Linked DNA regions of Arabidopsis thaliana. The protein of the gene in region 1 interacts with the protein of each later gene in a pairwise test. Each region holds a gene or a part of one and is shown in the gene's direction. Other genes may lie near its edges. The genes, in order: TINY2, BZIP60, NAC097 and BIM2.

Region 1 (7,404 bases):
CTCTTCCATTATAGGGAATCATGAGTGTATAATTTTCTGTAGAGTAAATGAAAAATATCTTATGTATTCCGTTATTTAATTGACCACCAAGATTCGTAACTGCGTGCACTTGATTTTGATTTTACTTATCAAATAATTTCGTGCTAATTCATCTGAATTAACCAATATTGCTAAGCTCGCGTGACAATTGGTCGTATAATCGTCGTATTCGGGCTAATGTTCCTATTATCTCCATCACACAGTCGTGTCGGTGTTTTAGATTTTTCAACAAATTTGTACATTATACTAAATTCATTTATTCTAAAACCAATAAAATCTTAAATTTATGTAAAATCTTCATGACAACGAGTCATGATTCTTAATTATTTTTGTCAGTCCCAATCTAAAATGAAATAGCTGACACGTATTATCAAGGTCGAATCCAAAATATGATACGATAACGACCGCAATGATACAAAGAGGGGTTTTGAACTAATTAACTGATACCGTACGTTTTTGTATTTTTCATCAGCATATATTACGTTGTTAAATCAACAAAGATAGCGAAGCAGATTAATATCGTTTTCCATGTTTCATCGACCAATATTTGATTAATTAGAATACTTTTAGCAATTCAAGATTTTTATGGGTCATAATGACAATCATTTGCGTGTTTCGTTGACTAGTACTATACTCTCTAAAGCAAAAACATGTTAAGAGTAAATGTCCTACATCTCGACGTGTCTTATTTTTCTCTGTCTGTCAATTTTTGTCTCTCAATGGAACATACACAAGATAGTGATACATATATATGTTGAATAGGGAATAAAACTACACACCATATGATATTAACTTCAATTTAATTCTATGCTTATTCGTCAGAGAAGAATCTGGAGAGCATATATATGTATATTCTCTAACTTCAATATAAATGTGTTTTCGTCTGAAAACAACACAATGTATACCTCCGTAAAATTAATTAAGCCACCTCAAGTCTAATTAGTATTCCATCTACTATCACTTTAGTTTTTGTAGTTGGGATGGTCTAACGATAGGACAACTTACGTGATAGAAACGGGTGAAATAAACTGTAAGAAACTTACAAAATATTATTATGCCTTATCAGAAACGTAAAAAAAAAAAAAAAAAATGATGTGAGGTGGTAAAATAAATGGGAAAATATCAGTGTACATTTTGTAAAAAAATGTTGCAGTTGAAAAATTTAATATTCAAAAATTGAGAAAAAATTTGTTTAACAGACTTGGCTTGATTTTCTGTAAAACTAAATAAAATTCCATCACAGATCTATCCAATACAAATTATGACAAAATCGTTAAAAAAAAAAAAAAAAAAAAGAGTTCACAAAATCGTAAGAAAATACCAGAGATTGTATAATAATTGAACTCAGACCCTATAATGTTTGTTTGTTAACGTTCTTTGACCCCTTTTCTTTTTATTTAACGTTCTTTGACCGTACTATATATCTCTAAAATCTTACCAAATGACGAGAACACAAACCAAGAACATGTCTCTTTCCTGTATAAAAAAGAAAGAAGAAGAAGATGAAAAGTTCTATTTCCAAAAGGCTTATTTTGGACCCTTTGAAAAAAAATCGCCTTTATAGTCTCTGTATTTTATTTTATTTTATTTTGCCTAATAAAACCATAGTCGGAAGATATAGATATTTGGTTTTGTCTGCCTAAATAAACACAAATAAAATTGACCAAAAATAAAATAAAGTAAATTACATAAAGATGTTTTTTCCCCTCTATTTACAAGTGGGTCTGCTTCGTTTATTGCGAAGGTCTTCATTAATGGTCAGTGTCTGAAATGAGTAAAAAGAAGCTTGAACAATCTTGTAAAATGGAATAACGGATACGAAGGCAAATAGCATAATTAAAATCCTTTAAAGATCCTTACCCAAAAAAAAATTAAATCCTTTATAGCTGATAAAATCTAAGATGTTTTAGACATTTTATTTGGTTTCATATTACAAGATGTTTTCCAAGTTTATAGATAATTTAAATATATTTGTTATTTGTGACCATTTATATTATGCAGTATTTTATATTATTAGTTGAATTTTATTAAATCAAATATAAAATAAAGGTTTTAAAAATAAAAAAAAGTTCTTTTTTAATTAAAACATCTTATATTTTGAAATATAGTGAATAATTTTTCTTTTTTTCTATTTTTTCATTCATTACTAGTTAGTTTTGACTTTTAAATAGAGGTTTCAAAATTATTTAATGGTTTTGTAATCCGATTGATTTCATAAACTGTTCTCGTGTTCTAACAATATTTTCAAAACAATTAAACTATTTTCGTTCTCGTCTTAAATAGACTTGTAAGAATCTCACATAAAATCTGTTTAACTAGGATAAATATAAAGCAAGAGTCAATATATTCATGTCAATAATTTTTGAATTAGAAACTTGTAAACTCTAAAACCTTTGTTGACCAGTTTTTTTTTTTTTTTAGTAAACTTAAGATGATCAATATTATTGTTAATTAGTATTACGTATATGATCAATATAAAATGCATATACGTATTGCTGAAACGAGAGGCGAAAATACAAACAATTCTCTTCATTGCAAGTACTTAGACATTGCTATTACTTGTGAAAAATCCAAAATGATTATTAAGAGACATTATTTTTTCGTCATTAAGAGACATTTTTTTGGCATGATTATTAAAAGACTTTAGTGTATGTGTATATTTGACAGACACTCGTCCTTCCTTATAGGTACGCAAATACGACCCCATGATTGAACAAGTTATTGTCCCTTAAAATTTCTTGAAGTTTCCTCTACAAACTTCTTTTCTTTATTTGCAATATTGTACCTCTAATTTTGGGGGCTTTTTTTTTTAGTTTGGAAGCAACTTTAACCTAATTAATATCAATTGGCTGGTAGATTTCTTTCTTTTATGGGTCTTACGCCCATATATTTTCTAAGACCAGGACAGAGGTATTAATTATCAATTTACTTACGGTTAAACCCCCTTTAGTACACCTTTTCAAGTCTAAGTATAAAATATCCTCTCAAATGAAATCAGTACAAATTGTGCAATTAATCACACACCATTTGGTGTCTCGAAAAAAAACACTCAGTTACAAATTTCTCCAAAATTTAAAATTTAGCCTCGAAGCATATGGTTTATTGGTTAAGACAAGTTCCTTTAATTAGCCCTCGATATATATAACTAAAGTAAACATATGATACTTACTAAAAAAATTTCCTGAATAAATCTTCAAAAACTGTTGACATTCATATAATATGTTTATAGAAAATCAAAATTTGAAAGACAATAACTCTATATCCGTGTAAATAATATGTATATTAATTCTGATCAAAACTAAATTGCAATTATGGCATATCATATATGTGGATACATATTGCCTTCACATGATGAGCATATATATATACCAATATGTAAATAGGAATGTATGATCCAATGAGTCGAAGATCAAGGTAAAGGATAATTAAACAGTAAAACTGAGGTGAAAATTATCTTACCACACAAAACAAAAAAGGCTTGTCTCATCATGTTCATCTCGGAGACAACTTTCATATAATTTACGTACCCGGCCGAGACAAAATCTCTTTTCAACACTGCCCTTCTAAATATGGTCGTCTCATAATCTTTTAATATACTGAAAAGTATTTTGTTTTCCTAATTTAGTTGCATAATGAGATTTTAAGAACCGGGAAAAATATTAAAGCAAACAGTGACCCCAAGTGTGTCGTTTTATACTAATAACAATATATTCACAATATAGAAATAGAGTGGGTCTGTGAGAAAAACAAAAATAAATGGAGCCACTGGGTCCATTTCCTTTATTCAATTAGACTTATTGCATTGTTTTTGGTCCCATTCCCTCTCTTCTAACCCGTACCCAAATATATTAATGCATATATAAATATTTTGAGTGACTGAGAAATGATAGCCAAAATTTTACCAACATTTTTCTCTTCTCATATCAAAGTTTCTCTCTCATTTCTTCATCACACTTCACTGCCCTGTTTTTTTTCCTCATTTTGAATAGTTCTCAAACTTATATATTTTTCCCCCTGAAGCCTAGCTATTTCTTTTTATTTGCATTAATCTCGGGATCCGAATCGAAAAAAGCAATCAGAATAATAGACTTGTACGATACTTGTGCCTAAGCTAACACAATGGCAGAGGAATACTACAGCCTCCGCTCGGAGAGAGTAACTCAGCTTCTTGTCCCTAACTCGGAGTCTGACTCAGTGAGTGACAAAAGCAAAGCTGAGCAAAGCGAGAAGAAGACTAAACGTGGGAGAGACTCCGGTAAACACCCTGTTTATCGCGGAGTAAGGATGAGGAACTGGGGAAAATGGGTGTCGGAGATTCGTGAGCCGAGGAAGAAATCACGTATTTGGCTGGGAACTTTCCCGACGCCGGAGATGGCGGCGCGTGCACACGACGTGGCGGCTCTGAGCATTAAAGGAACGGCCGCTATACTAAACTTCCCTGAACTCGCTGACTCATTCCCTCGACCCGTTTCATTAAGCCCTCGAGACATTCAGACAGCAGCTCTTAAAGCAGCTCACATGGAACCGACGACGTCGTTTTCATCTTCCACGTCTTCGTCGTCGTCTTTGTCTTCTACGTCTTCGCTCGAGTCTCTTGTGTTGGTGATGGACCTCTCGAGGACTGAGTCGGAGGAGCTCGGTGAGATTGTGGAGCTTCCAAGTCTCGGGGCGAGTTACGACGTCGACTCGGCTAACCTTGGGAACGAGTTTGTCTTCTATGACTCAGTTGACTACTGTTTATATCCGCCGCCGTGGGGACAGTCGTCCGAAGATAACTATGGTCACGGAATTAGCCCTAATTTTGGCCATGGCTTGTCATGGGATCTCTAACAGTTTATTTTGTATCATTACCATAATGTTTTGTTTAAAACAGTTTATTTTGTATCATTGCCATAATGTTTTGTTTAATCACGTTTTTAAAACCCTTTGCTGTTTTTGTTTTTTTTTTGAGTTTTTTGGTGTTAGCTAAGAAAGGTTTTTTTTTTTTTTTTTTTTGGAGCGGGTGTGAGCTCCATAATGATACGTGTACAAAACTCTATTTGTGTTTTTTTTTTGTAATATATAAATATCGGGTTTTTTTGTCGGAAAAGAAGGGAAAATAAAGTGATTTTTTTGTAAGTATCATCAAATGAATAAGCGATAAATAAAAGTCCACTAACTTTATGATATTGTAATAATGCAAATCATCAAAATTTAAAAAACTGTTCAATGTTTTTGTTTTTGTTTTCTTTGACAAAAAAAGTTTTTTTTTTAAAATTATAGGAAATATCTTTAACCATTAATTGTAAATTAGAGTCTCACTATCCCATTCATTTTTGTTTTGTCGACATAAATGGAACGGAGAATGTGAGTTAGGGTAAAAAATGAGGGAAAACACAAAGCAAGAGCAACTTGTCCAAGCTGACGCAAACAATACACAGCCACATATGTACATCCATGCAATACTTTATTATCATCTATTAGTATGTTAATGACCATAATTTCCCACTTTAAAAAATTTGTTAGACAATATAGGCCACACAAATATCATACAACTCGTTCTATTTTAGAATTAAAAAGAGAAAGGCTTATGATAAATTCAGATCTGATTAGCCAGCTCCACAGATGACTTTTTTTTGTTTGTGTTCTTATTCTACGATATGTTAAGATTAAAGACTAATTTATCAAAATTTCATAATGATCATCAAATAAAAAAGAATGTATATATCAAGAAATAGATTAATATTAAAATGAATGAGCATCTATTTAATTTCCACATATAACTTGGATCCCTAAAGGGAGTTCCTCCTCTCTTCATTTTATGTCTCCACATCCAATTTTCTTTATAGCCGAACTTTTGTCGTACCACCACCGTTGTGGCGTCACTATTTGCTTGTGCTTAAATTAAGAAGCTAAATAGGATTTAAGATTTTGGTATTAGGGTTTATGATTTTTTTTGTTCTCAAGATATAAGATGATCATTTGGAGCTAGAGTTTAGATTTTGTCATCTAAGATTTAGATTTATTTTTTTATTCACACAAAAAAAATTGAAAACTATCACTGAATGATGAAAACGACTTGCAATGTTTTACATGAGAAACTTATGAAAGTTTAAAGTTTCTAAAAACGTGTGAAAGAAATAAAACTTACTGAAAAAGTTTCTAAAGAACTAAAGTTTATAGTGATATTATTGGAAATATATACTACAATAATAAACAAGAAATTTTGAAAAGTGTTGAAAGTTTGTTAAAAGTTTTCGAACTGAGAATGTCCGTTAATTATTACTCTACAAATGTGAACAGCATCCATCGACATTTTTATTTTTTAACGTCCAATGTTTAAAAAGACAAATTAATTCAAGGGTAATTCTGTTAAAGCAAAATGAGAATGTTATTTTCGAAAGACGAAATGTAAATGTAGCTTAAAAAACTAAAAGGAACTAGTTGACACGAAAAAGTAATTACCCCTAAAATAAATGTAGGCTAGCTTAATATTTATTTGAATCTATATGACAAGAATGACGAATGATCATAATATGACATATTTAGTCCTGTCACAGGCATATCTTTTTAACTTCCAACATCTCGTTTTTAGGATAATTATAATCATGAAAAAGAGATGTGATGATCCATAAACTACTTGGTCTAAAGTGGAATATCCATGAAATTAAACTGTCTTAGTCATTGTTATGCTACTTGAGGTTACATATCAATTATGCTGATCTCTTTAATAAAATGTAAAATGTGTCTAATAGTTTGCAAACTCCAAAAGTTTTTGTAGATTACAACATGATATCTTGTTTATAATAAGATATACAACGACAAGCTTCGTCCAGGATAAAGACTAGTGTCTTTTTCTGGTTAAAGATAAAGATAGAGACTGTTGTTACCATTTACCAAACAAATACAGTAATGATGTCACTGACACCGTTTAAAACATATTAAAGATTTTGGATTTACACCTTAAGACTTTCTTACGAGAGGGTGGGACATGGAACAATGATTCATATTCTTATCTGTTAATTATATATCATGATTTTTATATATAATATTCCATTTTTTTAGTCAATGTATAGAGTGAAAAAATGACATTGTATAACAGTTAATTAGTTGTTACGTGTTTTTTTTTCTCTCTAGCTGTTTCATGTTTACATTGCCTTTTATATAGTATCTTTTTTTTTTTTTCTGGTGGATATTATTAACGGATTAATGGATTTTAGCAGCGCTTAATTCCACGTTCTTTTAGCAAATCTATGATCAATAGTAAAAGCATGAACAAAATATACAACTATATAAAAATTTGACTCAGCAATCAGAGTTCCGACCCCGAGTGAGATAATTCTTCGTAATCAGGGAATATATTCAAAAGAGGTAACCTGACTCGTA
Region 2 (7,804 bases), on another chromosome or scaffold:
TCCATTCTTCACACCTTCAAGCTATTTTAGACCAATAAGAAACAATCAAGAAACCTATATAATCAAACTTGAGTTTGAAGAAAGACCACAACATTGCAGCATTTACCTTACAAGCAAGAGAACAGAACAGGAACGAATCGAGAAGGTTACGAGAACAGATCTGACATGTTTTGTTTAAGCTTTTACCAGTTCGACATTGAGGTCTCGCGTTTAAGAAGAAGATCTTAGCACTATTGATAACATAAGTCTGAATACAAGAGATATCAATATGTTTTTGAATCTCACTCACTCTCACCACATTATGATACGACGATCGTCGAATCTGTAACAACAACAAAAAAAAAACATAGAATTAGGTTCATTAAACAAACGTGTTCGACAAAATTCCTGAGAGATAGATGGGTAATGAAAAATTGAAAACCAAACCTGGATAACACGATGGGTTCTGTGATGAGCGAGACAAGAAGAACAAAAGGCATTGCCTGAACAATCCAAACAAAACAGATTACATTCACTTTTACTCGATTGTGAATGAATCGAACAAGTCACGAAGTAATCAGCTCGAAGCATTGGTGTTAGCCATGGCGGAGTCATTACGTCGTCGTTCTCCATTTTTACAATGGAACTCACCTGAAAATAACACAGACCCATGAATCAATTTCTATAAAATAACATCGATTGAAAAATTCTGAAAAAAACAGAGGAATAACCATTGTTTGGGTTTTGATCTGTTTGACACACGAAACTTAATCTGAGAAACAGAGAAAAAAACAGAGATGGTTACTGAGAAAATGGAGAATATAGCGGCCACAGGTTTGTGTGGGGGTTTACAGAGAGAAGACGAAGAAGAAGAAGAAGAAGAAGACGATGGAGAAATTTATAAGACACTGAAAAGGTCGGCCTTTTTTACTTTTTGTTACTTATTTTTATTTATATTTTCTTCCATATTGTTATAATAACTTTACATTTAGACTCTTTATTTATTTTATAATCTCAAAACCCCCTAGTTTTGTGAAAAAGAGCATTTTTTCTCATCAATTTTGCTTTGGTTTTATTTGGTTTGCTGTATTTAGATCTAGATTTTTATTTTGTTGTCATTTTATTTGGTAGATAATAAATTATTTGTTAAAATTAGTAAAATAAATATATTGACAACAGTTATCTTTTCTGACGCGTGTTAGATATAAGAAAAATAAAATTTATGTAAATAATGTGTTATTAATACCATGATTGACAAATGATTTACTAATTCTTATTGCTTGTGTGATTTTTTTTCATAGTACTCATGTTAATTACTTATCTTTTTATGTTATTATATATTATAATATTTTTACTTATAGGTCCTCTAGTTTTTTTATTTAACTAAAAGCCCCTGTTTTTCCAAAAAATGACTTTGATATAAAATAGCTATATAACATCAATTATATTTGGTAGATAATCCAACAAGAGTTAAAAGTGGTCAAATGATTTTAATGGAAATTATTATTTTTGACGCGTGTCAAAAAGAAAGTGATATTATATCAAATAATATAGTCAAACAAAATAGGAATATCTTCTTAAAACCGTTACGTGAAATCTATACTAAATTTAAAATAAATTTAAAAGAACTTGTGTGAGAAATGAACCACTATATGTACAAAATGTCATATATAGATTTTGATAATAAAATGTCATATATAAATTTTGATAATAAAAACCTAAAGTATAGTTAGGTAGTGATATTACTCATTTTATTTTTGTATAATACAAGCTAAATTTGGTTAAATATTTTTAAGAAAATTATTGCTTTTAACGCGTGTTAAAAAGAAATTTATACTATGTCAAATAATATATCATCAAATAAAATTTAAAATTAAGACATGTGAAATCAATACTAAAATTTAAAAAACGTGATGATAATTAGACTAGGACAATTACAACATTGCACAATTTATATAATTTGAGCTAGGCTAGAAAAAAGTGACTTTGAACTAGGTTTAAATCAAATTCACCTTGGTAGTAACAAAAGTAGAGTAAAACCAAGTAAAATAAATTCACGTTGAATTTAGTTTCCCTCGCTATCATGTTCTTCAAATTTTAAAGATGTTACTTAGGACGTTGGGGAAGTTATTTGAAGTTTGGTGAACAAGGAATTGTAGTACATGTGGTAAGTATTCCCGCTTACATACAAACAAAAAAGTAATATACAAAAGGAAATATATGCTTTACGTAGTTAAATAGCTTTGTTAGAGTCCTCTCTATTAGTTTAATTACAAAATTTGCAATCCTTATATTTCTTCATAGGTATTTAATTAGCATTATAAAAGAACTATATCATAGAAAATATACACTATTAACTTTCGATAAGTGACTTTATGAACCACGTCATTAGATCACAAGTCAGGTTAATACAATTGTCCTAAAATTATAATTAATGTAAATAATGTGTTACTAAAATTATAATTACTAATGCTATTATTGACAAGTTCGGTTGATAAGCAAGTCCAAAATCAAATCTCATCAATCAGACTTCTTGGGGACAAGAGATACGACCTCCAAATTTGGTTTTTGTCCAGAAGTTAAAACTAACATCATCTAGCTTTTTAATATTTCTATTGGTGTTTAAAACTTGTCTTCTATTCGTTTCTAATTGAAATTGCACTTTATCTACTTTTTTTAAAATATAATTTAACATTTTATTGAAAAATATATAATCATCAACTGCTTTTAATGTTAAACTACTTTTTAAGTACTTTTTGAAAAAGTGTAATTATTCACACAATCTTGAAATAATTTTCATCGTAAAACAATTTAATAGATGTTAATGTTGGAAATATATAAACATCAGGAATTTGAGGATGGATCTCTGTATACTCCTCATCCTCTGTATTATATTATTTAGATAGAGATTAATGATAATAAGCTACCAAACCATTAGCTAATTCACTATAGTAATATCTATTCCTATTTTAAGTTATGACTACAAAACATTAGCAAATAAACCTTAAATGAGTATGAAGAAAATAGTAAAATATATTTATTCTTTAAAATACATATAATAACAAAAATAAATTTAGAATTGATACAATTAAAGATAAATAATTAATAATAAATGTAAATCTTACATTAATTATTGAATGAACACATAGAAAATAATTAAATAATAACGTGACATTCATATGAAAATAGTAGATCAACTTTCACATATATAATTAGTTCACTCATCTGCTAGAGAACTGAAAATTTTACAAATTCATTCATGTGAGATTGAATGAAGATTAATCACTCATTTAAAATTGAATAAGGAAGATAATCCAGAATGTAACATAAATTGACAATATAATATATGATTTTAATTAACAAATTGATAACTTTCAAAGTCTAGAAGATGGTCACGAAGGAAGAAAAGTCCTCTCGGAGAACAAAGATTCAATCGTGGAAGATGTTGACGGTGACAAAGAGAAAAAGGGACTGAAGAATTTTGATTGATTTCTGAGAAATGGTCAAAGAAGCCTTGCTCTCCTTGGTCTCATTGTCCATCTCAACTACATGTACATCGTTTTGACTATAGCTAACTGGTTTACATAACTGTACCGAAAATAAGAAAATCAAACCAAGAGAAAAGAAGTGAATTAGAACCGAGTTATTAATCACACGAACACTTCACTGAGTACACGTGTTCGGCTGTGATCCTATTCTTCCAGCTTGAAGCCTTCTCATTGGTTGTGTGACGGCACATAAAAACAATAATCCTCTGCTAACAGAAACACTATAACACAGTACACTCCATCACATCATTGGCTAAAAATTCAAAAAACGCGTCCATAATCAACACGTGTCATGCTGACTCTTTTTCTACACATTTACTTGGTCGCAAAGAAATTTAGAAAAGTCTCAAACACAGTTCCTATATAACTCATCTCTCTTCCAATTTCTTAAATTAAATTCGCTTTTTTTTTTCTTCTTTGTATATTTTTTTTTTTTTGACCATGGCGGAGGAATTTGGAAGCATAGATTTACTCGGAGATGAAGATTTCTTCTTCGATTTCGATCCTTCAATCGTAATTGATTCTCTTCCGGCGGAGGATTTTCTTCAGTCTTCACCGGATTCATGGATCGGAGAAATCGAGAATCAATTGATGAACGATGAGAATCATCAAGAGGAGAGTTTTGTGGAATTGGATCAGCAATCGGTTTCAGATTTCATAGCGGATCTACTCGTTGATTATCCAACTAGCGATTCTGGCTCCGTTGATTTGGCGGCTGATAAAGTTCTAACCGTCGATTCTCCCGCCGCCGCTGATGATTCCGGGAAGGAGAATTCGGATTTGGTTGTTGAGAAGAAGTCTAATGATTCTGGTAGCGAGATTCATGATGATGATGACGAAGAAGGAGACGATGATGCTGTGGCTAAAAAACGAAGAAGGTATATCTAATTTTACTCTTGTTTGAAAAGTTAGGGTTTATGGATGGATTTTGTATGTTTGTGTTGATTTTGGTTTCATTAAGATTGTTAAAAGTGTGTTATGCTTTGAGAACAACATTGAGAACTAGGAGATACGTATGTGTAACAGTGAAGATTTGAGAAACGAGTGTTTAAATTTTGCTTGCGTATCTTGTGATATGTTCATGTTATTATGTTTATGTATGTGTGACGTTGAAGAGTTGATTGATTATGAGTGATGTTGATTTTTGTTTCATTTAGATTGCTATAAGTGTGTTATTGTTTTGATAACAACATTGAGAACTAATCATTTAAGTAAATGACTGTTTAAATTTTGGTTGCCTTTAATTATTGTTAATCTTGTGTTAATATTCATGAGCTGATTATGTTCAAACATAGGTATGTGTATTTTGGTTAACTTAAGATTGTTAAAGCCTTTTATGCTATGAAAAGAAACTGAGGTTTGATAATTGGGATGTGATTGTGGTTCAGGAGAGTAAGAAATAGAGATGCGGCGGTTAGATCGAGAGAGAGGAAGAAGGAATATGTACAAGATTTAGAGAAGAAGAGTAAGTATCTCGAAAGAGAATGCTTGAGACTAGGACGTATGCTTGAGTGCTTCGTTGCTGAAAACCAGTCTCTACGTTACTGTTTGCAAAAGGGTAATGGCAATAATACTACCATGATGTCGAAGCAGGAGTCTGCTGTGCTCTTGTTGGAATCCCTGCTGTTGGGTTCCCTGCTTTGGCTTCTGGGAGTAAACTTCATTTGCCTATTCCCTTATATGTCCCACACAAAGTGTTGCCTCCTACGTCCAGAACCAGAAAAGCTGGTTCTAAACGGGCTCGGGAGTAGTAGCAAACCGTCTTATACCGGCGTTAGTCGGAGATGTAAGGGTTCGAGGCCTAGGATGAAATACCAAATCTTAACCCTTGCGGCGTGACAACGCCTTTTTTAACTGCTTCTTTTGCGCATTTTGAGTTGTAGATGAGTGTCTTTTAGTTTTCTCTCTCTTGTTTTGTATTTCGCTGTTGAAAGTTTTCTGTCTAATATCGATAAGTTAACAGTGAATGTGGGTCTTATGGTTATGGATGATATCTATCTAATAATGCTTCTGCCTTTAAAATGTTGATTTTGAGGCATAACTTCAGGTAATATCACTTCTAATTACTAGATAACAATTCATTAGGTTGATTAACATTGATAAAGCTTTTCCTCATGCTAGTTTTTACATGTTTGCTTCATTTGACATTATCACAGTTTTTTTTTTTTTTTTTTTTGTCATCAGATATTATTTAGGGTTCAGACGAGCCAATCTTTGGGATTGTCACAGAGATTTTTGTTTGTAAAATGTTTGGTACGGATGCGTAGGCAGGTAAAAAAAAACGAACAGATAGTTTTATTAGAACAATGAAGATAAGGTAAAACTTCGAATTGTAAAAAAGTTCAAATATTTTCTAGTACATAAGCACTAGAGAAGAGATGATAGATAGTTTGCAGTTCCATCTAAGCAGCATAGAAGTTGTCGATGAAACTAGCTACGGTTCTTTAGAGGTTCCCATTTTGTTTGATGTTCATTTTTCTTTTCTCCAGTATCTCCTTCTCAGCCTCGGCTTGTCTTTCAATCTCCTCGCGAGACTTGTAGAACGTTTCCACGAAACGGGTCAGGATGTTGGTCGCTGCAGATAGGGAGAATAGCCAGAGTAGAAATGAGAACCGCGAAATGTAGACATGAGTACAATAGACAGTAGATGTGATGGTACCTTCCTTGAAGCGAACACCACTTGGATACTCAGCTATGTAGGAATTTACAAGTCCTCCCTGTGAGTTACAAAGTAAATATAGGTTTTGAGCATGATATACATGTCCTTCAAGGTCTAACCGAGAGTTATATAGGTTACCACTTCTGCGTATAAGATATTTAGCAACTGCTTGTCGCCGTCAATCGTACAAAGAAAATCATGCACCACCTAAAAACATGAAGATCGGATTAGAAGATGCTACAAAGACCTTTTCTTAACTCTTTATTCATGTGGCTTACGTTTCGGTAGCCCACAAAATTAGCACCATCATTTTCTGAAGCTAGGAACTCATCATTCACCTCTTCCTCGATGTCGAATAACTCTTGCATCTTATTAGTAATGGTTTCCAATTCAATCTGTAATTTTCAGCACAAGTAAAGGAGAGTTGGGAACTAGAGCAAAAGAAGCAACCATGAGTTATATCACAACAAAAAGCATACCCTCGATGCAGCTTCTAAGTGAACAAGGTCATTACCAAAATCCAGCAGCTTCGGCATTTTTTCACCAACAAGCTAAACCCGTAAGAAGATAGTTAAGACGTTAAGCAACTTACGCAAATTACCGCATTAACCATATGTTACACAAGAGTATTTGTTACCTTGCAAAAGTCATGCATCAAATACACATTATCACATAACTTAACAAGACTATCCAGTCCACACTCCACATTAGAACCTGCAACACACAACACAAGGCCCACTTACTACATCAACAAATAGATGCTACAAAATATTAAAAGTTATGAAAAATTGGAAATCAATACAACAATACATGATACCTCTTAGAACTTGCATTGTTAAACTTGTTTGCATAATCCGAAACAACTTCACAGATCCCGTTATCTAGTACATGAAATACGATTACTTAATTACCAAGATGGACATAGCTATATATATTACCATGCACAGAAAAATGTCACCCTCAGGTCCAGTTATTGGGCTGTTCAACTGCTCCAGTTAAAGAGGGTCTAATATAATTTTGACATTTTTCTTCAGAATTTAGACCCGTTTGTATTAAAAACAAATTAGAAAAGGCTCAAAAAATTTGAATTCTGTTTATATACATCATTTTTTTTTTTAAACTATTGAAAACTGAGCCCAATAATTAACTGAACCGGGTCTGTCTCTATGCATACCTCTTTAGTAGCAGCGATTATCGTATGCATCCACATTTTTAAGTCACTCACCCTGGAAGGATACTCAACCTTAAAAGCAAACACTCGTAATTTTGGTTCTATCCGCGGAACCATCATTAGTTCCCCGAAAATCTGTAACATTTGCATAGTTAGGGATCAAAGCACATATGATGAATAAATAACATTTATGGCTTTAAGAAGTGAAGCAAAACCTCTTCACACTTTCCAAGCACTTCCTTGTCACCACCAGCAGAATTCTGTAAACACAACATGAGTTAGCTTTAGAGTTCAGACGACCAGTTGAGATATTCGTAATTACGAAAATATTGTTGTAAAGATTACCCTTAACCGATCCATTTCTTCCTTGCTCCAACAGATTTTGATTAGATTTTTAATCTGGTCAATGATCACAGCTGAAGAATCCAAATCTAGAACTGCATTCTA
Region 3 (7,171 bases), about 17 Mb from region 1:
ATCCATGTAGCGTTGAGCACAATGAGTGAGGCAAGAACTCTCGCTTGAGCTGAACTTACTTCCCGGTGCGCTTGTGATGCATTTGTCCCAGCACACACTTGTCATCTTCGACACCATTTCGTTCACCATTGCTCTTTCTTTCTCTTGCTGCCACACAAACACACACCCACATTCTCTTACAATTCACCAAACATAAACCCAAGACAAAAAAAAATCATTACTTTGCATAAACCCTAATAAACCCAATTCTTGTAAACACATATTAGTACACTAAATCTCAATTCAACTTGATTCTAATCATACCAACTAAATCACACATGAAAAAAAAAATCAGATCTTTCAAGTTTAAAGCATCGAAATGTTAATTTGACCCGTCAACGAAGATTCAAATAAATGGTTTCTGTGAATCCAGACAGGACTTAAAACACTGCTTCTACTTATAATTTCGCTGTCCAAATGCTCAAGTTTCCATGTGAATCGACTTAAAAAGCTTTAAAATTGAAAGAACTAATTAGCATTCATCAAAAACAAATCGGAGACTTACGGCGAGGAATTGAAGCAATTCCGGGTTGTTTGCCATGCTAGGATCCATGTCTGGTGAGCTGAGAGCGTCTCTGCTTGAAGAAGAAGAAGGAGAAGAAAATTGTTCTCAGCGACTGAAAACCCTAAAAACTTTTCTCAAAAACCCCAAAAGGCTACAATAAAGTTCAAGAGACGCCGCTTACTTACTTATTGGGCCAAAACCCCCATTAAAAGCCCAACAGTTAAATAATCATATTGAGATCAAATATGTAAAAGTTTGATTTAAATATGGATCATGATCTGGGCCGAGTGTACGGATATATAGGGTGGGTAGACTCAGTGATTTTAAACCCGGACCCGACCGGTTTAATAGGGAACCAGCAGGCACATTTGGGTCTAAACTAGTCATAAAACCGGACTTTTTAAAACTCTGATGGAACCGGGAACTGGCGGTTCACCCAGCTATTTGTTGACTAGTTCATGTATTTTTTTGGTGGTGTATATCAAATATTCTTCTAAGAATTCATTTGCTCCAAGATAATCAAAATGTTACAATCTCCATTGTGATTAACTTTAAAGTTTAGAGGTCGTCGGTTCGAGTGACGCTTGGAACAAATTTCGGACCTAAGGGAATTACGGGCTTCGTCCCAAAACCTCCTGGTATTCAAAAAAAAAAAAAAAAAGGAAAGAAAAGTAACTTACTTGACTAACTTAGTATGCTTTGGTAAACCCATTCAATTAGAACTAGATTCAAAGACATTATTTTAAAACTATTTTCTTTTTGCATTGGAGAACCAATCAAAAAATTACGTTCAAGTGTATGTATGGTTAAAAAGAATAATTGAACATGAAGATGGTGCTTGTACCATATCAATATCAACCATCAATTGACAACACTAAGTTATAAAGAAATGAAACTTTTCATTTATGTATGTCGTTGCTTAAGAAATGTCGCTAAATCATCAAAATCTAAAGTAAAAAGAAGATTGAAAACAAACAAATAAAGGAAATGGAAAGCCAACATCTTCGAGGTGAAGAAAAGTACCAAATCCAAAATGCTGCGTGGGAGGAGTAAGACATATGATTCTAAATTGACAAATTTAAAGCTTTTTCTATATCCTTTATGAATATAAAACAAATAGAGCTTTGCCTACTTTCAACACATGAAAATTATATAGAGAAATTTTGGACTAGAATTAAAGCTAGATGTTAACAATTTAAAATATTTATCAAATATAAGCTAGTCATGTTGCATTCGAATTAAGATTCAGCAAAAGAAAGCTGATGAATACTCTCTTCCAAGTTCCAACCAATTAAACTAATCTCGATTCCTTAACAATGAAACAATCATCTTTAATCCATTTCATTTTCTTTTCTTAGTCTTTCGAAAGACAAATTATGTAACCTTTATTTCTAGTGTATAAAACATAACATTATACAAAGAGGACTAAACCTAAAATGCTATTTGTAAAAATCAAAGGCTGATGCTGGAAAGTTGAAGCAAAAAATTGGAACAACTTTGGTTTGGTGGGGGCTTTGGGAGCTTTATTGATCCAAGGAAAAAAAGGAAGGATAAAAGGCAAGTCACCAGTCCAAAGACACACATATATACAATAATTTATCTAAAATAATTGAAATTAAAGAAGTGCATGAGAGTAGAAAATTGAGTCAGACCAACATCTAATAACTTACTCGTTAAGTCAGCTTCTCAAATCTTTAAGTTGGGATCGACTTGGACTCTCTTTCAAATTCACTTTTGTTTTCTGAATATACTTTCTTATATTTTTCTTATTTCTTAATCATTGCTTATGCATATTTACTTAAATTTATTGTTTTAAAAATGTATTGTATCCCGACATTATTATTTCACTTGCCAAATGATAAAGACAAAGAAAATTTTGATTCCTCGATGATATAAGTTTTCCTTTTCCACGTATAAATTTATACCAAGAAATGATTTTACTACAAAATTATAGGTTGAACGTACGTCCAAAACTTTCGCTTATTTATGTACATTCATATCTATAATTCGTATATCATTCCGACATTACTATAAGAAAAAAAAAGGGTCGCATGGATATTTTTACATGGATGATATATACACTAGTCCCTAAACATGTGTAAGGTCCCTAACATAAAGGTTTGTTTTCTTTTTCGGTGTGAAAACATTTCAGATTTGGAATAAACACTGTGGTAATTTTTCGGGTTTAAATCCACTCTAAACACTTACGTGTATTTTTACCTGGGCTAACCGATCGGCTTATGAAAAATAAAATTTCAAATGCATGTTAAAATTAGTTCTGGGCCAATTGTTAGAAATGTGCTCGTTTTAGTTATTGATGTTGAATGTACTTATATGGTAATGAATCAGCGTGGATCTAGGCTTTTGGAACTTAAATCTTGTTTATTTCGTTTTGGTTGAAAAAATAAATAATTACCTTTGCCCAGGAAAACGAAAAAGGAACTAGATTATCTTTACCAAAAAAATAAAGATATTTTTGAATACTCGCTATATTCAAAACCTTAACAACGTTGACTGCATGGGTACATGCACCACAATTTGTTATGATGATCCTCGCATTTAAATAAACAAAAATGAAACCAATCTACGATCTCTGAATTTGCAGTTATCAATTTTTTTTTATCTATTTATCTCTTGAAATTAATAGTAGTACGTAAAAAGTATCTAAAGGAAAAGCAGAATCCGCTTTTGCCAAACTAAAGGTGACACACTCATAAGTATATATAAACAACCTAAACCAAACACAAAGGATACTCATAAGAAAGCAATGGACATTTCTGCGCAGAGATTTGCCATGAACGGAAGAAGCATGAGACTCCCTCCCGGGTTTCGGTTCGATCCCGATGATGAAGATCTTGTGTTCGAGTATCTCGCCAAGAAGGTCCTCCACCGTCCAATGGACTTCGATCTCCCTGAGCTCCGTTCTTGCAATGTTGATCCATGGGACTTGCTAGGTTTGCTACAAACTCTTCTCTCTAATAATTACTATACCATATCACGTCAAATGTATTGAAAAATGTGGTTTAGTGAATGTTGTACGTACACTTTTGTTGTAGGAGAGAAGAACAAGGAAGTGTATTACTTCGTGAAGAAGGAAGAGCGAGAGAGGAAGGGAAGAGAGACGTTATCCGGTTATTGGGAAGAGTGTGAAGAAGAGGAAGTAATGGAGGCTGGTGGTCGTGATTGTATTCATTTAGAAGGAAGGAGAAAGACATTTGCTTTCTTTATTGGAAAAAAACCTCGAGGGACAATAACTCCATGGATCATGTACGAGTTCCGACTTCTTTCCTCTAGAGCTACAAGGTGGTCATCGTCCCCTCTACCTCGGGTGAGTCACTCATTGGACTTTTATCTTTTTCTATAACATATATTTTTGTTGTAAGTAATAGTTTAGAGCTAACTATATCAATGTTTTGGGTTTTAAAGGGTGAGGTAGGAAAATGGAGGGCGGTGAAAGTCGTAGTGAAGGAAGAGAATGATGAAGAGATGGTGGAGGATGAGCACGAGTCTGACGAGTCTGATGGCGAGGAAGTTATTCAAAGCCGGTGACGACCGAGGTTGATGCCATAAATATATGTACTTGGTTTTGTGGTGAATCGTTTGAATTTAGTTACTATTGTTAGGATATTAGGGAACATCTAAATGAAATATATATGCATGATTTGTCTTATTGTCTTCCAAGCCCTTTGGAATGGAATGGAATGTAATTGAGGATGTGGTGAAAGATGCCACAAGTTGCTTTCACTCTCCCGTTTTATTTTGTTCTTGTCCAATTATATATATATATATATTATTAGTGGTCCGTTAGACCAATCCATCCAACATCACATGAGGAGGTCTTCCCACAATATAAATACAACTAGATTTTAATCCGCGATATACCGCGGGACGATTTATTTTTTAAAAGTAATATATATTAAAATTTGCAAATTTTATTTTTATAAAATATTTATATTTTACAGTTTATAATTATTATTAAGTAACGCTATACCACGAATCCATGAGACAATTTTTAAAAAACTGAAGTTGTAACCCCTATTAAAACAGCATATTAATAATATTTTAAAATTTTATAAATATTGATTCAAATACATCCACCATATAATCCAATTCCAAAATAAAACCTGTTGTATAATTTCTTTACCCGTCCCGTGATTTTTTTTTAAAAAAGTAATTTTTAAAATTTAAGAATTATTTTTATATATAAAAGTTTTGCAAATTATATCATTCTCTAATACATTTATATTTTATAGTTTAATTTTATATATAGTAACATTATACATACTACATAATATTTTCGGTTTTATATAATCTTTTCTAAATTAGGATGATTTGATATGTTTAATATTAGTGGTCTTAAAAAATAATAAATTAAATATTTAACCAGTATTGAAACGGTGGATTAATTATATTTTACTTTTTTATTAATGTTGATTCAAAAACCCGTCACTCCAAATCTGTCTTGCCAAAAAGCCATTTATTTTATTAATATTAATTTTATTAATGATATGACTCTGAATTATAATCTAAACATTTTAGCTAATAAATAGGAGTACACCATATTTATTTAATAGGGGAATGTACCATATGACCCGAATGCACTTTTACCCAAATCCACCAAAAAAGTCTTGCAAAAATACTATAGAGATAAGAAACGATAGTCGGTTTTGATAGGTAAAAGATTAGCAAATATATTAGTTAGCTTAAATTAGTTAAAGAATACAAATTGAAAAGGTATATTACACTTTATTCGAATATAGTATCAAAACTTATATAACACAGAGATTTGATAATTTTTTAATTGTTGAATACTTTTTTTTGTGCTAATTTTTATGTGATTAAGATTTAATTGATTATATATATAAAATATTAAATTGTTTTACGAACTTATTTGTTTATAATTTGGTAACAGATAGATATTTGAGTATTCAGTATATTTTGCTTCAGTTTAGGAAATCTTTGATGACCCGTCTTTAGATCCAATAAACCTTATAATCTAGATATTAACCTGCAGTATACCGCAGGTAGGCTTATATTTTAGTTAAACTAAAAACTTTTATTGTAAAGATGATTTAAAAATATATGATATTATTTTATTTGATTTTAAATGTATAGTAAACTGTGAGTTGTATATGTTTTGTTGATATTATGTATATTGTTTAGTGTTTATAATTAGACACTTGTAGTTTAATTGTTAATTTAAGAGTTTCACATGTAGTATACCATCTTGTATTAATATCGATCTAAACCCGTCAATTCTAGGATTTTCCAGCTTGTATTAAAAATTGAATCACATCATACACATAAAAAAATCTAATATGTTATTAATTATTATAGTATATAAGATTATAAATTTTCAATATAATATGTATGAAATTGAATATAAATATTTCAAATTATGACCCGTTACTCAGTAGAAAGTTTTCTTAAATCTATTTTTCACCCTTTATAATATTTTTTCATGTATTGAACAGTTTATATTTGTTTTTAAAAATTTAAATTATGGCATATGCGAAAAAACTCTAATTTTTTTTTTATAATGATGATATTATTTTTTCGCAAAAATAGAATCATATAAAGATGAGAAGTGAACTATAATAATTAATAAAAAATTAATATGATAATTTAGATATAAAATCTAATTTGTTGATTTTAATAGGTTACTTTTTTGGAAATTAATAATGTATTTTTTTAAATTTAATTAAATTAATTAAAATTTAAATATCAAATCTTATATGTTGATCTTGATTGGTTATTATTTTTGAAAATTAATAATGTATTTCGTTTTTTAATTAAATTTAATTAATTAAATTAGTATTTGACTTTTTAATCCTTAAAGAGATAAATTAATTTACTCTTTAAAATTTTATTTCTAATGATATACCTATGTAATTACTTAAAAAATTAATGTTATATTTAAAATGTACTTTCCAAATAATATAGTAGGATATGTAAAAGAAAGTATAATATTTTAATGTTTGGGTATCTTTATATTTAAGACACAATGTCTCAAATGTCTTTATAGAGACATTTTGGAGAGAGATGTCTCAAATTTAAAGACCCTTTTATATTTAATTATTCATATCTTATAATTATAATTTTTTTAATATAGCTAAAGACCCTCTCCTTTTATATGCAATGGAGATGCTCCTTCATCATTAGTATATTTTGTTTTGAATTCAAGATTTCTAAATATAGAATTTCCTAAAATAAATACATGGTAAACTCGTGGGGGTTATTGACTTGATTTGATACAAAAAATGAGAGGATATAGTTGTGATCGCATTTGATTAATTTAGGCTGATGAGCAATATGTATGCAATATGCATGGATGGTGTAGAAGCGAAGACAACTATCACCATACTTAAGATTAAAATCACCACAATTTTAATATAATTTAACAATATGATTTTATGCATAATTAATTGGACTTAATTATTACTAAGACATTATCAGTTTGCAACCATCCAATTTCATGTAGAACAAGAAGTCTTTAGATTAACCCTCACAAAAGACTTTCCGTTTTTCGGGGTTTTTTCTTGACTAAACAAATAATCTTGGAGACATTAATGATGTTATGAGTCATGTGACCAATACAGTTATTTAGACATCAAAGTTATCTGCAAA
Region 4 (8,905 bases), on another chromosome or scaffold:
AAATACACAAACCATCAAACCAATATACACTTCATACCCCATGGGGACAAGGCAATATGTATCAATGACACATTCCTAGATTCACACATCATGAAATAGCATCAAAAGCAACAAGAGAAATTAAAACCCACCTCCTGCTCAACAGCTTCCCCGATCTGAGTAGCAGCATTCACTAGCTTAACAATGCCAACGCCTTCCGCATTAGTCATCAACAATCCCATCATCTTATGCATAGTGATAACAGCCATCTTATCAGCCGGTAACTGCTCCATAAAAGGCGCATACGGAATCTTCCCTTTCTTGATTTTAAAAGTATCAAGATCATCTTGAATAGCATTACGCACAGGCTCAAACCAGCCTAGAAACAAAGACTTCATATAAGGTAAATTCGGTGCAAGCTTCTGCTCACACATATCAGCTAGAATCTCTCTACACTCTCTCGCTGCTCTTTCCCATTCTTCAGTCTCCATTTTCACCTGTCTCTGCTTCAGCATATAGAACTTCTGTGCTCCCATTCCCGCAATGACTCTCTTTGGCGGTATAGCTGCAAGCCTAGCTTTTTTACGGATTCTCTCAGTTTCTTTCTCCATTTCCGTTATCAATTCATTAACTTCATCAGACCCAGAAGACTCATCTTCAGGATCAGTCGAATCAATAGCTTGCGCAGCTGTAGCATACCCTTCAAACACATAACATTGACCATGACGAAACGAGCTTAATCCACCCATTTCGTTGACTGGATTTATAGATAAACCATTTCTAACGCCACTGAGATTAACAGAAGACAGAATCCCACGGACTCTATTCACTGGATAATGAGTACCGGAGGAGCTAGAATCAGATAAAAACTTAACCTTTCTCAATGAAGCTCTTCCCAGAATGTTCCTCCACATTTTTTGAATCGTTTTTGTGATCGCCACGAAATGGTAATAGTGGCTGCTTCAGATAGTTTACTGCCTCCACGAGCACAATCTCGGGCTATGTAGCTACTTGATTTTGTAGAGTTATTAATACAAACATAGAAATCAAAGAGTTCAGATTCGAAGAACAGATTAAAAACAAGACTTGGGTGAAGAGAAGAGAGATCTGGAGAAAAGAGAAGGCGCCGTGAAGTACAAACACAGCCGCCGAAATAAACCCTTCATAAAACCTTTGGTTTCTGCTTCACATTTCATGGATCTTGTCAAACCCGACCCGCTTATCAGATCCGTTACGCTCTTATTTGGGCTCAAAGCCCATATTCTGGCACGAGTTATACATTACCATGATAAATATATACCTAATTAACATTACAACAACAAATCAGAGTGGCGCAGCGGAAGCGTGGTGGGCCCATAACCCACAGGTCCCAGGATCGAAACCTGGCTCTGATAGTATTGTTACTCTTTTTTTTTTTTTTGTAACTTTTGGGCTTAGCCCATGTCTGATAAATTCGAATAAGGTATAGTATTGTTTTGGAAACATAGGCATATGTTACTTCTTTTTTTCCTTTGTAAAGTTTGGGTTTGGCCCAAGTCTGATAATTCCATTCGGCCCTTTATAGTATTGTTTTGGAAACATAGCCATATGTCACCGTTCGATTAGAAACAAACATAGTACGTGAAAATTAACAGATCAGAAAGAGACCACGTGCATCACGTGACCACCTTAAATCTGATAGGTTAGAATCTCGTCTTATCACGTGAATCCCACGTGTCATCACAAGCTACGGTTCATTTAGAGGCCTAACCGGGTAATCACATCAAGTCGTACACGTCTCCAAATCACGAAACTGACGGACAAAAGCTCAAGTAAACTCACGTAGTCTCTCCCACAGCTAACTAGAACTCAGCCGAGTCACGAGGCACCCAAAAAACAAAAAACAAATAAGCAACAAAAAAGAGCTCGTCGACGGCAAAAGTTGAAAATAAAACAATAAACAGTCGAAATTCTCCGGCGAAGATGAGAACCGGAAAAGGAAATCAAGAGGAAGAAGATTACGGAGAAGAAGACTTTAACTCTAAACGTGAAGGTCCTTCTTCCAACACTACTGTTCATAGCAACAGAGGTAAATTGTTCGATTTGGGAGACTTTTGAATTTTTCTTAGTTGTTGTTTCGTCAATTTGTGTTTTGGTTGGAGCTATTGTTGATATGTATCGAGATGGATTTGAATAGTTTGGGATTAGATTTTTCTAAGTTTTGTCTCTGTGTGATTCGGTGTTTGATTTTGAAAGCAGATTCAAAGGAAAATGATAAAGCTAGTGCGATACGTTCTAAACATTCGGTCACTGAGCAACGTAGAAGAAGCAAAATCAATGAAAGGTATGTTGATATAAAGTGAGGATTTCAAACTTTTTGGATTGTTGTTTTTGTGAGAACTTGAGATTAGGAGTAAACGCGACATTCTTTGTTTTGATATCTGAATCAAAATTCAATTACTTTGCTAACAAAATCATAAGAATACTTAGGACTTGTGTTTGGGAATTTTGCTCTGCTTCAGTTTTGTGGTGTTTGATATAGGACTTAGTTACATTATAATTATTGTTCTTGTTCTGAGTGCTGAATTCATAAATCTCTTCTCAGATTTCAGATATTGAGAGAACTAATTCCCAACAGTGAACAAAAACGTGACACTGCTTCATTCCTTTTAGAGGTATGTCATGGTATTTGATGATGCTTTGTGCGAATATCCTGTCTTTTAGATGTTGTTAGCTTAATACCGCTATTCCATTCTAGGTGATAGATTATGTTCAGTATTTACAAGAGAAGGTGCAAAAGTATGAAGGATCGTATCCAGGTTGGAGTCAGGAACCAACAAAGTTGACGCCATGGGTAAAGTTTTGAGCTTCTTCTTATGTCGGTTTCTCAATGAGTTTCTGTGATTGTAGATTCTGAGTATGTTTTTGCACCCGCAAGGCTTTCTTTGTGTGACTTTTAGCTGAAGGTTATGTTTTCTTGATTGGAACAGAGGAATAATCATTGGCGAGTTCAAAGTTTGGGGAACCACCCAGTAGCTATAAATAATGGATCTGGTCCAGGGATACCTTTTCCTGGAAAGTTTGAAGACAACACTGTGACTTCGACACCTGCAATTATTGCAGAACCGCAAATCCCGATTGAATCTGACAAAGCAAGAGCTATAACCGGCATATCGATTGAAAGTCAACCTGAGTTAGACGACAAAGGATTACCACCACTACAACCAATTCTTCCAATGGTACAAGGCGAACAAGCTAATGAATGTCCTGCAACTAGTGATGGGCTAGGCCAAAGTAATGACCTGGTTATTGAAGGTGGAACCATTAGCATCTCTAGTGCCTACTCGCATGAGTGAGTCTGATCTTCTAAGTCTTCCTCGTTTCTGTTACTGTGCTGCCATTGATGTGTTCGCTTCTACCCTTTTTTTTTAACTGCATTGTGTACTAATCTTGTGAGACATTAATTCTGAAATGGCCAGGTTATTGAGCTCATTAACACAAGCACTCCAGAATGCAGGCATTGATCTGTCGCAAGCAAAGCTTTCTGTGCAGATCGATCTTGGGAAGCGAGCCAATCAAGGTCTAACTCATGAAGAGCCATCAAGTAAGGTAAATAGTTGGTTCGAAATGCTTCATACTTAGTTTTGTAACAATAGCCATATATCATGATGTTGATACATTTTTCTATACAGAATCCATTATCATATGATACGCAAGGAAGGGATTCAAGCGTTGAGGAAGAATCTGAACATTCTCACAAGCGGATGAAAACACTGTGACATTTCTCTCTCAGGCTCCACGGCGCTGGAATATATAAATGTATTGACAGATTCCTTGTATCGTGTACATTGTTCGGCTTCTAGGGGTTCCTATAGTACTCGTTAAGATAAACTTTGGTTAGTAGATTCTGCGTTTTTTTGTGGTTCTGAGTTTGTATCATCTTCTGCATCATTCATGTAACCTATCAAATATGATCTCTTGTGGTTTCAAGTTATTGCATCATTTTTTTCCGATTTGATCTTCCTTTTTTGTTGAGAGAGCGAGATCAAAGGCTAGCAATCTCTTAACCTTAAAGTGAAAGACTATTATAAAATCATTTGATGCTAAACCAAAGATGATGTGATGCTTTTATCTATTGTTGTGATGACCCATAACTTTGAGAAGAAAAGCATAATCAAAGGCAGTCTCTTCGCATTGAGCATAGCGACCACCTTCACCAAAATGCCCTCCGTTCATATTTGTTTTCAGAATCACAGCTCGGGAGCAGTCGTGGCACGTACTATCCCTTATCTTAGCCACCCATTTTGCACCTTCCCATACTCCAACCCTGACCCAATAACACACGCAAACTATGATCCAAAGATTCTTACTTAAAACAAAAAAGAGATATGGGTTTAAGGGTTCTTTTGTGAAGCTAGCTTGCCTTGAGTCATGAAACGAAGTAGTGACAAGCATGGACGGATAGCAAACATCTTTTCGTATCTTATCATATGGAGAATAGCTAAGGATCGATCCGAAGTCAGTTTGGTTGTCTGGGTTCCCGAATTCTTCATGGTCCAGGAGTGTGAGAGGTAAATTTGGATCCGATAATGTGTTTAATACATCTACAAAAGGAACCTGCCCAAATGGTACACACCTTAATGATTTGAGCTTTTGATTATTCTGGACACAACTTAATGCATTTGCTATGCCATAATATTCTTACCTTCAAAATCACAGCTTGAAATAGACTCGGGTGCATATTCATAGCTGCAGCTGGAAGAATAGCTCCTGCACTGTACCCAACAGCAGCAAGATGATGTCTATGCACATAGCCTTTTTCGACTAGATATTTAGCACTGTATATGAAATCTTGGATTGAATTTTGTTTCAACGATCTAGTTCCGGATTTGTGCCATGAAAACTCCCCACTGCCTCCTCCCCTGAGGCCAAAATAAAACTCTTATAGAAGCACATTCAAATCAACCACTATTATACCAAGTGATGTCAACTTGAAGCAAATGATAATTGAATGCTTTGGTTATGTTTAGTGACTGACCTCACATCAGCAAAAGCAATCACCCAACCACGATCAAGCATACTCAATCGATTTGTGCACCAGCTTTTGTCCAAAACTTCTCCATAAGCGCCATAACCTATCAACATTCCCGGTGACTCACTCTTCTTCCATGCTTCTCGTGAATACAGAATTGTAAGAGGGACTTCAACTCCGTCATGTGAAGAAACTTCTTGTCTTTCACAAACATATGTATCAGATAAGTCCTCCCATTTAGGCATTCGAGAATCTAACTGACCATCTTCTCCCTCGCTGGTTCTATCATTAAGTTGACCGTTATTCTCTGTAGAGCGATCTGCTGTGTACCATGGCTTACTACTATCAGAATTATCTACAACCCCTCCCTCCTGCTGCACAATTGAGAACAATCTTCTTGACACGTCATAGTCAACGATAGTGTCAGGAATCTGCAATTCCAACAATAACAGTAAGATATTCAGAGAAAGTATCAGAGTAGAAAGAAAAATTCAAATGCAAATAAACTATGTTATGGTTCAAAGCTAAAACAAATAGAGAAACCCGTTTCTTTATTTACCACAGGAGACGAAAGCACCACTCGGTATATAGAGCTCTGGAAGTCGTGGTTTGAACCAGGGGCAACACTGCATGAATCAACTGGAAGTGGAAAATACCAGGGAACAAGATCATCCATATGCTGCACAAATGAAACATACTTTAGTGAAAATGTATGAACGCAAAGCGACAGAGAAAAAACATACAACTGCAATACTAATCAGAAATACCTTCGTATTTGCTTTTATGGGCATATCAATGGAACAGAGCATAGGTAAGCCTTTCTTATTAAGATAAAGCACTAAGTAGTCATTGAACATGTCCATATCTTGTATAACCACATCATCATCTGGACGGAAAACAGTCTGCCAGTCAGATGCTTCAATTTCCTCTACTAAGCATCTAGTCAAATAGTAGCCTTCACCAGACCACTCACTAATTGCATTTGAGGGAGAATTTGTAAGAATGTAAAAGAACCCATTGTGATGTTCAAGAAAACACTGCACGCCAGGAACTCGTTCGCGAGTTCTTTGCAAACCAGCCATTGGCTTATCAGCATTTACAATATAAACCTGAAAACAAGATAACTCAGCTTGAGCCTAAAGTATATCGATGATAGACACTAAGAAAACAAAAACAAAAATGCAGTTGAAAGAGGTAAATTCCTCGGATGAAGTCCTTGAGTTTGAATTGATAGTAACAAACTTGCCATCTTTTGTGGTCGTTATGTCTACACAGAAACTGGAATCTCTTTCGGTAAACACTACGGCATCATCTCTCCCATCTGATTCAACATTTGTGACAACAACCCTGCAAAAACTAGTCGCAGTTGAACAAACACTCTCCAAGTTTAATAAAATTAAAAAGCTATCTATCTACTAGTATGAGTCACTGTATTTGCCTGTGAGGTCTTTGGTTTTCATCTGTAACAGTGTAAAACAAGGTGATTCCATCTAAAGCCCATGCCAAGCTAACAACTCCATCAACTTCCAACCTCGGAACTAACCGATCAGTTCTTAAATCCTTAATCTGGAGAATGAAACGCTCACCTCCTTCGGGATCAACCGTGTACGCCAGATAGTTATGATCAGGTGAAACCCGACAAACTCCAACATGAACATAACCTGAAGTAGTACACATAACACTTGCTTAGAGACTGACGATGACTCTAAAACTAACAATGAAACATTATACTAAAGGAATGAACTTTTACCAAACTGCTCTGCAATTTGATTCCAGTCAAGCACAACTTCTTCTTCTTCTCCACGAAAAAGACCAGAGAGCCAATTTGTTTTACCCTTCTCCAATCTCCTACATAGAAGAGGATACTCTTTTCCTTTGGGTATGTATTGTCTATATAACCTGCTCAATAGACAACTTAAACCAAATCAATCAAAAAGCTCACTCCTTTATACTCGTATCAGAGAAAGTTACAAGATTAGAGAGATGAACCATTGTCCCCAACGCTCAGGAGGAGTGAAAATCTCTTCTGGAATACGAGTTTTCATCTCGGAGAATAAATCACGCCTCAGGGTTTCTGTGTCAGCCATGAAAGCTTGAGAGTATGAGTTCTCACGCTTGAGGAAGTCGACGAAATCGGTGTCGTCCGTATTCTTCATCCAATGGAAAGGATCTTGTCTTGTGATCCCATGAGATGAGATTGCGAATGGGATCTTCTTTGGAACCGGAGGAGCTTCCGTTGGAACAGAGAGTGATGATGTTCGTCCAACAAAACATTTCGTCGAGAAAGACAAAACTGATGATATTGTCGCCGGCTTGTAACGCCGGAGAAGATATGTTACTGCCATTAGCAAACTTTAACCTCTCCAGCGACTAATATTTATGTCAAAGTTTCGCTTTTTAGGATAATTTTGTAATCAAAGTCTGTTTTTTTATAATTTGCGAATTCGAATGAATAAAATGTGTCTTCATCTTTTGCATCAAAAGCTATACACTGAATCACTGATGATGAAACAGATCATATACCATCCTCATTTACTTCCCAACAATTGGGTATGTAACAAAACTTAATAATATTTCTAATTTTTTGCTGCATTTGATTCTTTCTCTTCCTCAACATCCTGCAAACACGTGAAGGCAGATTTGGATTAAACCAAGATGTTCTGTTGTTGTATGTTTTAAAGAACTGAGAGAATAATCAAACGTTTTCACTTACAGAGTTGCCAATCTTGTCAAAGTCATCATCACCCAGGCTTCCTCCATCATCACCATCACCATCATCTGCAAGTTTTACGATTATACAGACAAAATCAGGATTTAAGTCATAGCTAAAACTTGGGAAGCTACATCAAGTCAAGGTGTCTCACCAGGAGCTTCGTCACTGTCTTCTAGATCTCCCAGCAGGAATGTATCGAGATCTTGCTCAGACGATGCAGTAGATATTCTGTTCTTTTCAGCTGATTCTGTCCTTCCAAGCCCTGGACTCTTCTTAGCTTCTTCATCTTTACTCTCTGCTTTGTTCCTAAGTTCCTCCATGTACTTCCTTTCATATCTGATTCAAAACAAATCCTTTCCGCTTAATTCATGCAGCTATCAAGTCTCATAAGAATGAAAGACAAGGGTGCTCAATTCACTAATCACTTCTCAGAAATACACAAACAACTAAGGTGTCAAGATCTTCTATATGTTTTCAGTCATGTTCCTTTGTTTTTTATATTCTCATTTGTGAGTTACATGGTTTTCCGAGATATACTGGACCAAGCTAGAGGCAGAATAGATGATTTGCAGCCACAAGAGAATTCACTAAGACTGTCTCTGGATCAAATCCGTGCTGATAAGGTATAATCCATTTCCCATATAATTACGTATGGTTTCATTTTACCAAACTTAAGCTGCAGTGATTAAGCTATGAGACTACCTAGTCATACAAATATAGAGATCTTAAGCTATCTTTACCACCTCCTATGCGCTTAATGCAATTCTCAGTCTAGTGTCGATAACATTTTCAGACTTTGAGAAGAGATGGTAGATCCTTACGGTGCAACATGAGTGCTCACTAAGGTAAAGTATATCCTCCAGAACCTCCTTTCTTTCATAACTCGTGGGCATAGTTCATATCTCAACTTCGAAATTTGCTGCAACATACACAAAATGCAAAATCAAACAATGTAGCACAGAAGAGATGAATCTATAACTAAACCAATTATGCAAGATCAGCTTCTCCAACTAATCAAACTAATTCCAATCTCAAATTCGAAAAATCTACCTTGACAGAACCAAGAACAAGAGTGGCATGTCTCTCCTGCCACTCAGAAAGATCCTTCCGAACATTCGACGCACTTGTTTCCAAATCAGAAACTTCCGACGATTCATCTAATCCACATTTACCATAACACATTTCAAATCCTCAATTCCAAA

What was found.
Region 2: the proteins of TINY2 (region 1) and BZIP60 interact in a two-hybrid assay, tested with the Arabidopsis thaliana proteins (one large-scale study listed by BioGRID).
Region 3: the proteins of TINY2 (region 1) and NAC097 interact in a two-hybrid assay, tested with the Arabidopsis thaliana proteins (one large-scale study listed by BioGRID).
Region 4: the proteins of TINY2 (region 1) and BIM2 interact in a two-hybrid assay, tested with the Arabidopsis thaliana proteins (one large-scale study listed by BioGRID).

What each region holds. Positions count from the first base shown.
Region 1 is NC_003076.8:3,725,254-3,732,657, reverse strand, and holds TINY2 (Integrase-type DNA-binding superfamily protein), read left to right. Parts: upstream 1-3,931; 5' UTR 3,932-4,158; coding exon 4,159-4,869; 3' UTR 4,870-5,205; downstream 5,206-7,404.
Region 2 is NC_003070.9:16,133,624-16,141,427, reverse strand, and holds BZIP60 (basic region/leucine zipper motif 60), read left to right. Parts: upstream 1-3,964; 5' UTR 3,965-3,968; coding exon 3,969-4,405; intron 4,406-4,915; coding exon 4,916-5,366; 3' UTR 5,367-5,705; downstream 5,706-7,804. Other genes in the region: AT1G43000 (PLATZ transcription factor family protein), read right to left, coding at 1-21, 107-322, 427-630, 711-713; AT1G42980 (Actin-binding FH2 (formin homology 2) family protein), read right to left, coding at 5,972-6,102, 6,187-6,244, 6,325-6,393, 6,465-6,581, 6,666-6,713, 6,824-6,900, 7,004-7,067, 7,361-7,492 and 2 more. UniProt on the Arabidopsis thaliana protein: Transcription factor involved in the unfolded protein response (UPR). Acts during endoplasmic reticulum stress (ER) by activating unfolded protein response (UPR) target genes via direct binding to the UPR element (UPRE).
Region 3 is NC_003076.8:20,675,914-20,683,084, forward strand, and holds NAC097 (NAC domain containing protein 97), read left to right. Parts: upstream 1-3,308; 5' UTR 3,309-3,311; coding exon 3,312-3,498; intron 3,499-3,524; exon of another isoform or gene 3,525-3,560; coding exon of another isoform or gene 3,561-3,600; coding exon 3,601-3,872; intron 3,873-3,970; coding exon 3,971-4,093; 3' UTR 4,094-4,361; downstream 4,362-7,171. Other genes in the region: TIM8 (translocase inner membrane subunit 8), read right to left, coding at 1-147, 545-592.
Region 4 is NC_003070.9:25,939,863-25,948,767, forward strand, and holds BIM2 (BES1-interacting Myc-like protein 2), read left to right. Parts: upstream 1-1,766; 5' UTR 1,767-1,941; coding exon 1,942-2,047; intron 2,048-2,217; coding exon 2,218-2,302; intron 2,303-2,563; coding exon 2,564-2,633; intron 2,634-2,716; coding exon 2,717-2,812; intron 2,813-2,948; coding exon 2,949-3,310; intron 3,311-3,437; coding exon 3,438-3,567; intron 3,568-3,650; coding exon 3,651-3,737; 3' UTR 3,738-4,086; coding exon of another isoform or gene 4,087-4,285; 3' UTR 4,286-4,381; downstream 4,382-8,905. Other genes in the region: MGP3 (male gametophyte defective 3), read right to left, coding at 132-893; AT1G69020 (Prolyl oligopeptidase family protein), read right to left, coding at 4,087-4,285, 4,382-4,575, 4,664-4,880, 4,997-5,421, 5,550-5,669, 5,758-6,099, 6,193-6,337, 6,429-6,651 and 2 more; AT1G69030 (BSD domain-containing protein), read right to left, coding at 7,567-7,608, 7,704-7,768, 7,855-8,039, 8,525-8,622, 8,754-8,860. UniProt on the Arabidopsis thaliana protein: Positive brassinosteroid-signaling protein.